Linked DNA regions of Caenorhabditis elegans. The protein of the gene in region 2 interacts with the protein of the main gene of each other region in a biochemical or structural test. Each region holds a gene or a part of one and is shown on either strand. Other genes may lie near its edges.

Evidence for each region. The genes of interacting proteins can lie anywhere in the genome.
Region 1: the proteins of brc-1 (region 2) and brd-1 form a complex in vitro, tested with the Caenorhabditis elegans proteins (one study listed by BioGRID).

What each region holds. Positions count from the first base shown.
Region 1 is NC_003281.10:6,884,673-6,891,374, forward strand, and holds brd-1 (BRCA1-associated RING domain protein 1), read right to left. Parts: upstream 4,833-6,702; 5' UTR 4,824-4,832; coding exon 4,762-4,823; intron 4,719-4,761; coding exon 4,659-4,718; intron 4,610-4,658; coding exon 4,441-4,609; intron 4,398-4,440; coding exon 4,222-4,397; intron 4,214-4,221; exon of another isoform or gene 4,131-4,213; intron 4,010-4,130; exon of another isoform or gene 3,919-4,009; intron 3,905-3,918; coding exon 3,845-3,904; intron 3,797-3,844; coding exon 3,619-3,796; intron 3,566-3,618; coding exon 3,257-3,565; intron 3,132-3,256; exon of another isoform or gene 3,044-3,131; intron 2,963-3,043; coding exon 2,749-2,962; intron 2,707-2,748; coding exon 2,506-2,706; intron 2,454-2,505; coding exon 2,356-2,453; intron 2,314-2,355; coding exon 2,198-2,313; intron 1,246-2,197; coding exon 1,086-1,245; intron 1,037-1,085; coding exon 976-1,036; intron 927-975; coding exon 784-926; intron 705-783; coding exon 603-704; 3' UTR 535-602; downstream 1-534. Other genes in the region: med-2 (GATA-type domain-containing protein), read left to right, coding at 1-355; K04C2.2 (DNA polymerase V), read left to right, coding at 5,103-5,204, 5,257-5,448, 5,495-5,695, 5,752-5,943, 5,988-6,075, 6,123-6,313; K04C2.5 (INSulin related), read right to left, coding at 6,372-6,457, 6,511-6,630. UniProt on the Caenorhabditis elegans protein: Constituent of the CeBCD complex that possesses E3 ubiquitin-protein ligase activity.
Region 2 is NC_003281.10:3,859,911-3,864,657, forward strand, and holds the start of brc-1 (Breast cancer type 1 susceptibility protein homolog), read right to left. Parts: upstream 3,049-4,747; coding exon 2,978-3,048; intron 2,925-2,977; coding exon 2,579-2,924; intron 2,123-2,578; coding exon 1,894-2,122; intron 1,845-1,893; coding exon 1,771-1,844; intron 1,709-1,770; coding exon 1,370-1,708; intron 1-1,369. Other genes in the region: acs-19 (Acetyl-coenzyme A synthetase), read left to right, coding at 4,595-4,654, 4,705-4,747. UniProt on the Caenorhabditis elegans protein: E3 ubiquitin-protein ligase that specifically mediates the formation of polyubiquitin chains and plays a central role in DNA repair.

The DNA of each region.
Region 1 (6,702 bases), 3.0 Mb from region 2:
TCCAACTGCAATGGATTCTTCATCTTTAAATATTTCACCAACTACTGGAAGTCCTAATTCTTCCCATTTCACCACGTTTACTCATTTTTCTACTCCATCTACATCTCCATCTACCTCTACTCAAAGTTCAACTCCACCGAGCAATTCTGATAATAAGAAGTCATTTCAATGCTCAAATTGTTCAGTAACTGAAACAATTCGTTGGAGGAATATTCGATCAAAGGAAGGAATTCAATGTAATGCTTGTTTTATTTATCAACGGAAATATAATGAGACTCGTCCAGTCACTGCCGTTAACAAATATCAAAAAAGAAAATTAAAGGTACAGGAAACGAATGGTGTAGATTCTTCTTAATGTAAATTGTATCATTGTAAATTGTATAACTCAATTGTAATTTTCTTGTTTTAAGCCGGTAAATTGTTTTTAATTAATATGATCTCATAACTTATATTTATATCTTGTTCTCGATTTTAATTACATCATAACTTTAATTGCATGGATTGGATGCCGTTGTGTATAAAATAACACTTCAAAAAATAATCATTCATATTGCAATTTTACAATAGAAACGCAAAAGAAAATATTTTAAAACGGAAAATGGTTAATGTGGTGGTGTTGTGATGGAGCATCCAAGAATCGCCTCTATTAACCACTGCTCGCTGACAAGATTGTACTTTGTGCAGTCGCGGAATTTGTCTCCTATCTGTAAAGAGAAATAAAAATGTCACCAAACTGAAACTACCGAATCCATAATAACAGGAAAACTCCTTCGTTAAACTTACATCATGTGTCAAGCTGTAGAGCACAAAGTTTGGTTTCAAGTTGGCATTATGGTACGGCGGTGGATCTTTTTCGTCAATAATGGGCTCCCTCGCTGCAGCTTGACCACCGGCAGATCGAATAATTTCAAAAAGAGCTGGGCGATCTGAAATTGAAAATTGAAAAAATTAAAATACTGTAAATTAGAATCGTACCGAGGAAGTTATACTTTGGCTTTGGAATGAAAAATTTGCAACCGGCGAACAATTTTGGTTGCTGAAAAATTTGGTTGTATTTTTTTCTTTAGTGGAAATCAAATCCGTACCATTTTAGTGATTGTCTTCTTCCATTGTTCAATAGTATTTTCAAATACTTCACCTTCCATCCATCTAACTTTCTGAACCATATAAGAACGATCATCATCGACTTTCGATGGATCAATAATGCACGCTCTCAGCCAATCTCGACTAACTATCATTCCCGATCTGAAAGTATGAATTTCCGCTTTGAAATTTCATATTTTCACATAGATTTTTTTGGCTCTCATACTGCACCCTTGCGATTGTTTGCAATTTTCCCATGGGATCAGTCTATAACTAGACAGGGAAACGCATTTTATAATACAATCGAGCCACTGTGAAACTGAAATGAAGGTGTTTCTGGTGAGTTATATACTACTTTTGCTAATATTCAAAACTAATTTTGCAGTGTTTCCTTCTTCTTCTTCTTTCAATTTATGTTAATGCAAAGAAAGCAGAATGTCGAACTGATTCGGATTGCTCGGATAATAGGCTTTGTGTTTATGGACAATGTCTTTTTTCAAATCATGCAAGTGGTGGAGTTGTTATCACTGACGAAAATGCTGATGAACCTTGTACTTTTGACTGTCCAGTTGGAAAAAAATGTGTGGCAGGAGCCTGTGTTCGTGCCTAATTATCTTTTTATCTCCAATAAATATGTAATGCATTGCGACCTGATTTGAAGGAATGATAGAAAATAGACCATAATTACCGAATATAACTGTTAAAAAATTATTTCAGCTTTGGAAAAATAATAAGTTCTGATTAGTTTTGAACTCTCGTGCAAATGAATGGCTAAATTCGAACGCTTTTCGTGATTTTTGCTTGATGTTCCGAAGATTGTCAGATTTTCATAAATTTTTTAAGCAAAAAAAAAGATGAATAAATGTGAAATTATCGACTTTCAATTCAATTTTGAAGTTTCAGCGAATTTCTTTCTGATTATCATGCGTTTTCTTACGAACAAATGCCTTCCATTTATTTGCGCGAGAATTTAAAAATAAGTAGCCCATTTTTTGAAAAATTTCGAAAAAATTAATTTCTTAACAGCTATAGTCTGTCATTACGGTCTATTTTCTGACATTAAAAATCCCAAAATGACTATCTCCCACTTTTTAGGATAATTTTAAAAACCTACTTTATGATAGCTTTTAAAATTTCTCCAATATGCTCCTTGTTAATATTGAGCACACGAGTTTTCAAATCAACGGTGACTACCACATGCGTCGGAGAATCCATATCAGCAGGAACTATCTGAATAAATTTATTTTATTTTTAAAAATTAATTGTTTTTACATTGATTTTTCCGGGAAGTTTTCGTTTTTCAGATTCAGTGAGCATCTTCTCATCTATGAGTTGAACGAAATGAAGACGAGATTTTGGAGGGGCGACGACTGAAAATTCAATTTTTATCACGAAGAATAAAATTGTCAAAAAATTTCTTACCAGGCTGTAAAACTCTCTGTTCAGTCTTGAATTTTTCGATTATTTTCCTAATTTTCGGATCACTTTTAGCCATTTCTTCGACAGTTTTTCCAGCAATATTTCGAATTTTGATGCTGGCACCTTTCGATAAAAGATATTCAACAATTTGAGTATTTTGACGGCGAACAGCCTCGTGAAGCGTTGTTTCTAATGTTGAGCCGCCTGAATTCTTCGTCAAGAAAGTTGATAGAAGTTGTTTCTTACATGAAGCATTAATAACTGCACCCGCTTCAACAAGTATCTTAACAGCTTCCAATGAGCTATTCTCAACTGCCACGTAAAGTGGTGTCTTTCCGTCTTCTTTCTCATTTACGCACGTTCCTGCCTCTACAGCACTTCGAAGTTGAGGAATACGATTATTGCGAATTGAATTGACCAGGACAGCTTCACCACGACGAGTACCATAAGAACTGCGACGCTGAACATTTAAAAAATTGCAAAAAGTTTGCGAAAATGTGAAAATTGGAATGAAGGCGTAGAGATCAAGTTCAATTTTCAAAAAAAAAAGTCAAGCCACCTAGGGGACTCGAACCCCTGACCTTAAGATTAAAAGTCTCACGCTCTACCAACTGAGCTAAGGAGGCCATGCGTGCTGTGATGCAAAGACTTGTTAAGTAAGGGACAGAGGCGCAGACAACAAGATAATGTGGACGTTGAGCGTGACAGAGTAGAAAGACGAACGCCCGAAAACTCTTTTATTGAAGTCACTCACTTGCTCTGATTTCACACTCATCGACTTCTCTCCAAAACTCATCGGTGATTGAGATCGTCGTTCGATTTTATCGGATTTAATCGAATTTTTACGACTTCTAGACGTCGATGGTACTTCTTCTGGTTCTTCAGGTTCCAATTTTGGTTGTTTCTTGGCGCTCGCACTCATTGAAGCTTGCCGTTTTGTGAGAGGAATCGCTTTCGAGAAAATATCTTCTTCGATAATTTCGGCTTTAACTGGATTACTGCTACTTCCGAAAGCTTGAGCATACGTTGCAACACCAGTTGCTGCTGGAGCAGTTGAGCGACGCTGAAGAATTTCCGTTAAAGTTCTGAAGCGTCTTTAAAGTGAAATTGTCATACCTCAATAAACGGCGTCAGTAAATCATTTTGATGAGTTCTCTGCGGAACTTGCGATGCAAAAAGATCAACTACAGGCGCAGCCGGTTCATTTTTGACGGAAGTTTTCAGTATCGATGACCTTTTGGGTTTTCTCTCATGAACACTGACAGTTGAAGGGCGTTTTGTCGAATTACGCGTTCTAAAAGTAAATAAAATTCAATTAATTGAAGCAATGTAACAAACTCACGGAGAAGCTTCTTTGCTGTAGTCGTGGAATATATCCAATTCTGGAGAGTTTGAATTTTCCCTGAATTTACTGGGAAAATATGAAAAAAAGTTCTGCGTTCGGGGGGAATCGAACCCCCGTCGAATGCTTGGAAGGCATCCATGCTGACCATTACACCACGAACGCGGCATGGGAAACCAGCTATTAAATGAAGAGACATTTCTACTTGAAGCCACCAAATAGACCGCATCAGGTTTGTAGAAGAAGCATGACGGGAATCGTTTTCTCGGAAAGATATCCCCGATATGTCGCGTTCGTGGTGTAATGGTCAGCATGGATGCCTTCCAAGCATTCGACGGGGGTTCGATTCCCCCCGAACGCAGATTTTTTCGACTTACCGGTTTTCATCTTTACACATCAAATCATCATCCTCTTCACCAAGTTGTCCCATCTCGTCTGGCATATGAGCTTGCGTCTCCAGGAATTTCTCTACGGCATCAGCTGGAGTTTTTTCTTTGTTAAAAATGTTTTGTGTACAGGCAAACTCTGCTTGAGTTAGAGATGTTGTTCCGACCTAAATGAGAATTTAATTTTCGAGCTTTTCACCATTGACTTACTTTCTGTAAAAGGTCGTTTAGTTCAGACAAAGTATCAAAGCACGTTTTCAGCATATGAGCTTCTGTGATTTTGGATGTGTCTAGTGGGAAAGCACAACTCGGACACATGTGTCGAGCCACTGAAGAGCGTTTTCCAGACGGTTTCTGTTGAAATGTGGCGATACATTCCCTGAACATAAACTGAAGTTATTGACAATTTATTAGGTTGCAATACCTACCAGCAATAAGCATGTTTGCAAGATGATCCGAGATATTGCAAGTCTCCCCTCGGTTTTTTGCTGAAATTTTATTTAAGAGGCAAAATCTTGTACAACAACTTACCATTTAACACACTCGATAGCTGTTCGAAACGTTTCCAATGCTTTTTTAGTGTTTTCAAACATTATTTGACGCTGAAACAATAATTAAATCAAACAGGAAAAGAATAAAATTCGAAAATCGCACTTGTTTGTTTGCGCGTCAGGTGTGGTGCGTGCGCACAGAATACATTTTATTTTACGAACAAAATATTTTACTTCTATTTCTTTTTCTTTCATTAAACTAAAATTACATTTATTTTTTGTGTTTTATAGAAAAATACAGTTTACTTGGTCTGGAAAATTCACGAGAATGATCCTCTCGTCAATTTATTCTCTTTTTAATTATAATTTTAAGTTTTAAGCATGAGACCGCCAAGTGAATTACTCGATATTATTTCAAAGCTTGCTGAGCTCGATCCATTAGTCAGAAAAGGAGCAGTTAGACAGCTTTCAAGCAAACAAGAGGTAGGAAAAAAGTAGCTGAAATAAATGCCTAATTAAAGTGTTATTTTTTTAGGAATTATCCGATAACGAGCTCAACACATATGTGATTGAACGTCTTATTTCTGGATGTGCTTCAGCTCGTGCTGCTGTTCGTTTGGGATATACAACCGCTTTGGGTACTATTTTAATGACAAAAGCAGGCGAATCATGGGAACTCGACAAAATATTGGCCGTTGCAGATAAAAAGATGGACCTGGCAGAAAAGGTTGGGATTGTAAGTTCCTTTATTTGTACTAAATGTTTCGATTCAGACTGTTGGTACCGGACATGCAATTGGACATTATCTTATTCTTGTCACATATTGTCAAACCAGAAAACTCAAAGAAGCAGAAGCTACAAAAATTGTTGAGCATTCGAAGAAAATCAGAGACTTTGCTCCAAGCTTGGCATTTTCACAGATTAACCTTCTATGCAGTTTGGCTACAAAGACAAAAGAAAGTGTTTTCCAAAAGGTAAATCAATTTACTGTTTGAACAAAAACAAATCTATATTAATTTTTAAATTTCAGAGTGTATCCCCAGCCATCGAAATGAATTTGGAAGGTCTCAGCTCTCAGTTCACACCGGAAAATGTCTACCTGGCACTTCGCCTTCGTAATTCTCATTCAACAGTGGTTGCAAAATACGCAAAGTTTGTAAAGAAAGACGGATCTATTCAATTTTCTGATGATCAGTATCCTAAAATTTTGGCTGCTTTAAAGGTTAGTTTTCTATTTTAAAATTTTTATAAATACTTTATTTTCAGCGCTGTGACTTCGCCACAGTTCAAGTATTTCTTCCACTTCTCATCAAAGCATCAGTTGAATCATCTGGTTTTGATAAAATGTACCTGAGTAAGTTATACTTTTGAAAAGTTTTTTTTATAAATTCTCATTTTCAGAAGTTCTCGAGCCATGGGCCCTTTCAAGCAACGAGACGAAAGTTTTCGATAGAATTCTCACGATTGTCACTCAATTCTTTGATTTTGGAGGCGATGTGAAATCAATTGTTGTAGTATTTACTAAAGAAGTTTTGAATCGAATGGAGACCGCTACACGTGGAAAAGGACAATTCAGATTGATGAGTAAAAAGGTAATATTCAAGAGTCTTTATTGTTCAAATTTACAAAAATTAGTGAGATAGAAATTATCTAAAGGTAAACTGGCTTTTGTGATCGAATATGTCTCTGAATTTGTTTGATTGCTTTTCGGAGAAGAGCCTGGCAATCTTCCGGTACTGAAAAAAGATTTTTTAAAACTCAAGCTTTCTTCTAAACATCGAAAACATACATTTCTTGCATTGTTGTGTAAGTTCCTCATTTTCCACACAATATTCGGATGTTATTTCACACTCGATAGAACATAAATCGAGTACAGGAAGCCAGACAGCATCAGAAAATGGATCACCGCCTGTAAAAAAAGTGTTGGAACAATATTTAATTTCTTGTATCTTAAAAATGTATGCTGGTAAATTATGAAGAA
Region 2 (4,747 bases):
AGCCATTGACGTTTTCTGGAATGGTTAACATAGAGCACCCACTTCTCATCTCCAGTAACCAGATTGTTCAGCCAATCGAACTTTCGACGAAAAGTTAGAAGTTGAGTACAAACGTTGACCCGAGTGAGCTTCTGTGATGCCGAAAGTTCATGAGGCACCCAAATTCCAAGTTTTGAAGTAAAACCAAGGCGACCCAAGTGACGTGCAATTGTGCTATGACAACACTCAAGCTTCTCTTCCATTTCACGAAGACTAAGACGAGGCTCTTCCTCCACCAGCTTCACTAGGTCTTCTTCATTTAACTCTACCGGTCGCCCAGAACGTTCTATTTCTTCGAGACTGAAGTCGCCGTTCTTGAACTTTTGAAACCAACTCTTTGCTGTATTATAAGAGAGTGCTCCCTCACCCATCGCACCGCATATGTTTCGTTCCGCTTCCATTGCTGAATGACCAAGACGAAATTCATAAAGAAGAAGCAATCTAACGTCTCGACGTTCAAGTTTGATGATTGTCATCGTGGCAAAGTAGAAATGGATGAAATGAATCTTTTCTGAAAGGGGACGACCCGACCTTGACACGACCTACGATGAAAAAATTTTAAAACTTTCTAGAAGTTTTGGAAAAATATTTGAAAAAAAGTACAAAAACTTATGGGACAACCTGATATTTAAAAAAAAATTGCTTAAAAATTTATTTTCAAATTTTTTCTTTAAAGTTATGCTCGAAATTATAACAAAAATGGAAATTTTGAATGAAAAAATATTTGCATTTTCTCAAAATTATGTTTTTTTTTCGGGTTCAGCACTTTTTTATAAAACAATTCAACTTTTTTTAAAATTAAAATTGAATTTTTCTGTTGAAAACCATATATTCCAGGGGTGTGCGGCAAATCGCAAAATTTGCCGAGCTCGGCAAATTCGGCAAATCTCTTTGTTCAATATTTGCCGAGCACGGCAAATTCGGCAAATTTGCCGAGCTCGGCTAATTCGGCAAATTCGGCAAATTTGCCGTGCTTAACAAACTCGGAAATTTTTGATATTTTTTGATGTTTTTGGACCACCAAAACTACCGAATTCTTAACACACATCTGGCTTCGGAATCAGTTCCGTGTAGTATGTCTGCTTAAGCATCAAAATAACTCAATTTTGTGTCATTTTACTGAATTTTTGGCGAAAAAATCAGTAGTTTTAGTCGAAATTGTACTGTCAAATTTTTGACGTGTGCGGCAAATTTCGAAATTTGCCGAGCTCGGCAAATTCGGCAAATCAACTTTTTTGAAATTTGCCGAGCTCGGCAAACGACAAATTCGGCAAATTTGCCGCACACCCCTGATATATTCTGCACACAATGATTTTCCTATATTTCTTACACTTGTAGCACAGGTAACATTTGCCAGATCATCTTCATCAATTTGTAGTTCTCCTTCAGAATCTTCTACAACTTCATCATCATCTGATGCTACGACCACTGGCTTTTTCACTGCAGTATTTAGATTCAAATCGATCAAATTTTGAGTACTTTTGAAAACTTCAGGCTTTTGGGCTAGTTTTTGGATTGGCTCAGGAGGAGTTTCCAGCGATTCAGAAGCTGTCATAATTTTTATGTTTTCAAGATCTTGAGAACTCGCAAAGGATACTCTTCGATTCGCTGGTTTCTCTGATTTTTTCGGTGGCGCCACATGGAATTTCTCCATTAGCTGATTGATATTCTGCAAAAAATATTTTATTTCAAAAATTATTTTCCTCTAAATAAGCCCGAATCATCACAAACATTTCGAAGAAATTGTCGCATCGTCGGCATTAATTGGAAAAGTGCATCGATTTCATCAATCTCTGTCGAATTTTCTGGAAAATTGGCAAAAATTAGCGAATTTTTTTTTGATTTTTGACCAACCTCGGAGGGTATTTATGTATTCTTCAATATCAACATTTTTCAGTTCTTCTCTTGATATTTTATACGTTTCTGTAGAGGTTTCCACGTCTTTTTTCAATTTTTCCAGCGGGAATACTCGACTTTGGAGCTCTACAGGTTGTTTTGTGGCTGGTTCTGGCGGTTCTACCGGTTCTGCAGGCTCCTCGGCGAATGCGCTCGGCGGTTGTGGTCGACTCGGTCGCTTTCGGCGCTGAAAATACAGATTTAATGTTAATAGAGTCAAAATAGCCCAAAAAGGCCGAATTTTTTAATGATAACTTCGAAAAACGGACTAAATTATGCAAAAACTCAAAATTTTTCAACTATTTAGCTAATTAGCAATTTGTATTGCATTTTTAATTTTTTTTCCCAAAAAAATACACTAGAAAATGTAACTATAGAGTCCAGTTTTCCAAACAAAAAAAAAGTAAAAAATATTTCTTTTCTGCTTTTTTCGTGTTTTTGACGAAATTTTTTCGCAGTCCGCTATGATTTTCAGTCAGAAATTAGCAAATCGATGAAAAAAGTGTGTAATAAAATTATTAAAAATTGATTTAATCGCTATACGACACAAAAAAAGGTGAAAAATGTTTTTATTTGACATTTTAGAAATATTTTTAGTGATTTTCTTTTGGTTTTAATTGGTTTTTTGTGCCAAAAAGCATACCACTGGCAAAAAAGGTATAGCAAAATCTGGAGCGCATCGTTTTCCATCATTCTCTGGAATAATCGTGATATCCAGCGGCATTTGACTTTCCATGAACATTTTCTCTGGCGGCAGTGACTTGAACGTATTCATATTCTCAATATCTTTTTTAAATGCTTCTGATAGCTTTAAATAGTTCTGCACAGCCATTGTAATTTGATAAGTATCTCGACAACTTCGCTTATCCAGTACACTTCTACAAATTGGGCATTGAACTTTTCGTTTTCGTTCGAAGCAAGCGTTAATGCAAGAACGACAGAAAATATGGAAACATGTGGACAGAATTGGATCTTTGTATGTTGAACAGCTGAAAAAAAACCAATTTAAGGTTTTTTTGTTGATTTTTTGAAAATAAATTACCAAATTCCACATTTCAGTTCTTTTTGCAGTCGTGCCACTGTTTCTGTGATCCTCAGTGCAACATCTGCCATCTGAAATTAAATTTTAAACAAATAACATTTCATTTTAATTGAAAAATCAATAAAGTAGGTTAAAATACAAAATATTTGATTTCAAAACTCCCGCGCTGAGGGGGCATCAGAGAACACTCATTGCAAACCTGCTCCACTGACAATCGGGGCGGAGTAAAGCGGAGAGGAGAGAGCGCCCCGCCTCCCCGCCGGTGCCTATATTTCAGTCGGTGCCCCCGGTCTTCGCCAGCATCCCCGCTTTTCCTCTCCCTTCTCTGATGACTCTCTTGTTTTTCCATATTCTATCAAGGAAATTCCCTTTGGAAATCCTGAGACTTCAAGCTACGGAGAATATTTTTTTTTAGAAAAAGAAAGAAAAAAAGAAGAAAGAGTGCGCGAAAACGATGCTGCTTTTTCGGTTTTCTATCTTTTTTTCTTCTTTTTCGGCTTTGAAAAAAAAAACATTTTCTGGATGGTAGCTCTTTTTGGGAAAGCTTTATGCAGTAGTTTTCAGTTAGTTTAGCTGCTAAATATCATTTTTGCAAGGTTCCGTTCAAACAAATTTTGCAAACACGAATTTTTCTTTTTATAATATTTTACTTTAATATTCTGCTTTTTAAAAAAATTTTAAAACCAAGATTAAAGATATATAATCTGCTTTTTTCCTCAAAATCTAGATGATAAAATTTTTAGAAAACTAATGTAGTTCAAAAAACTCCACATCTTCTCTTAACTCAAAAAAAAACAATTTTTATAAAAAGAGACATTTTTGCCGTTTGTCGCGATAACTTGCTTTATTAAAATGCCAAATGTGGTTTTTTAATAAAGTAATTAATTAATGTTATTGATTATTCAAATTTTGAGAAAAAAACATAATCAAGCCTTTAAAAATCATTAAAAAAGCAGAAAAAAAACACAAAACACACTATAAAAATTAATTTTTTAAAAAAATTTAATTGAGCAATTAGTGCAATTTTTCGTAACGGTGCTTGCGTACTGTGCACTTGATCCGACGACATCTACAGTACTAACTTTCTCATCTTATTTTTTTAAACGTTTCCACGTCAAATTTTCAACTTTCCCGGCGGTAATTTTCAGATTTTCATAATCAATTCTGACCAAAATACCAGCAAAACTCTGCACTCGAAGGTCAATTTTATTTATTTTCTCTCACTTTTTCCTCTCTCCGCCGTCCCCTTTCGTCCACCGTTTGACCCCATTGATCACACACAACCGTAGATTTGTTTTCTGATCGTTCTTCGAAATTCGTTTATCAGAGAACTGTTCAAACCGAATTTTAGGAGTAGTTTGAAATATAGAACGTGACTTTACTGGTAACAAATTGTGAGAAATCTAATAAATAGAAGAAAAAACGAAACGAAATTGTATTTCTCGCGTTGTGTTATTGAGTTTGTTTTCTCCAGTTTTCCTTTTTTTCTTTCTATTTTCTTTTCTTTTCCAAGTGTTTGTTCTTTGTCCTGCTCACGGTTTATGGTGCCATATTTCGCATGTTTTACCGCATTTTCTTATCATAAAGTGCCTCATTTTCAGGTTATTGCATCTCATCATGTCGGACGTTCGCGTCAAGTTCAACCTAGCCAACGATGGAGAAGGTCTCGACGAGGATGTAAGAATTTATTTCTTCGAAAGAATACTTTTAAAACCAATAGATTTCAGATTTTCCTCCCTCCAGCCCCACTCCTTGCCGGTGCTCACTGTG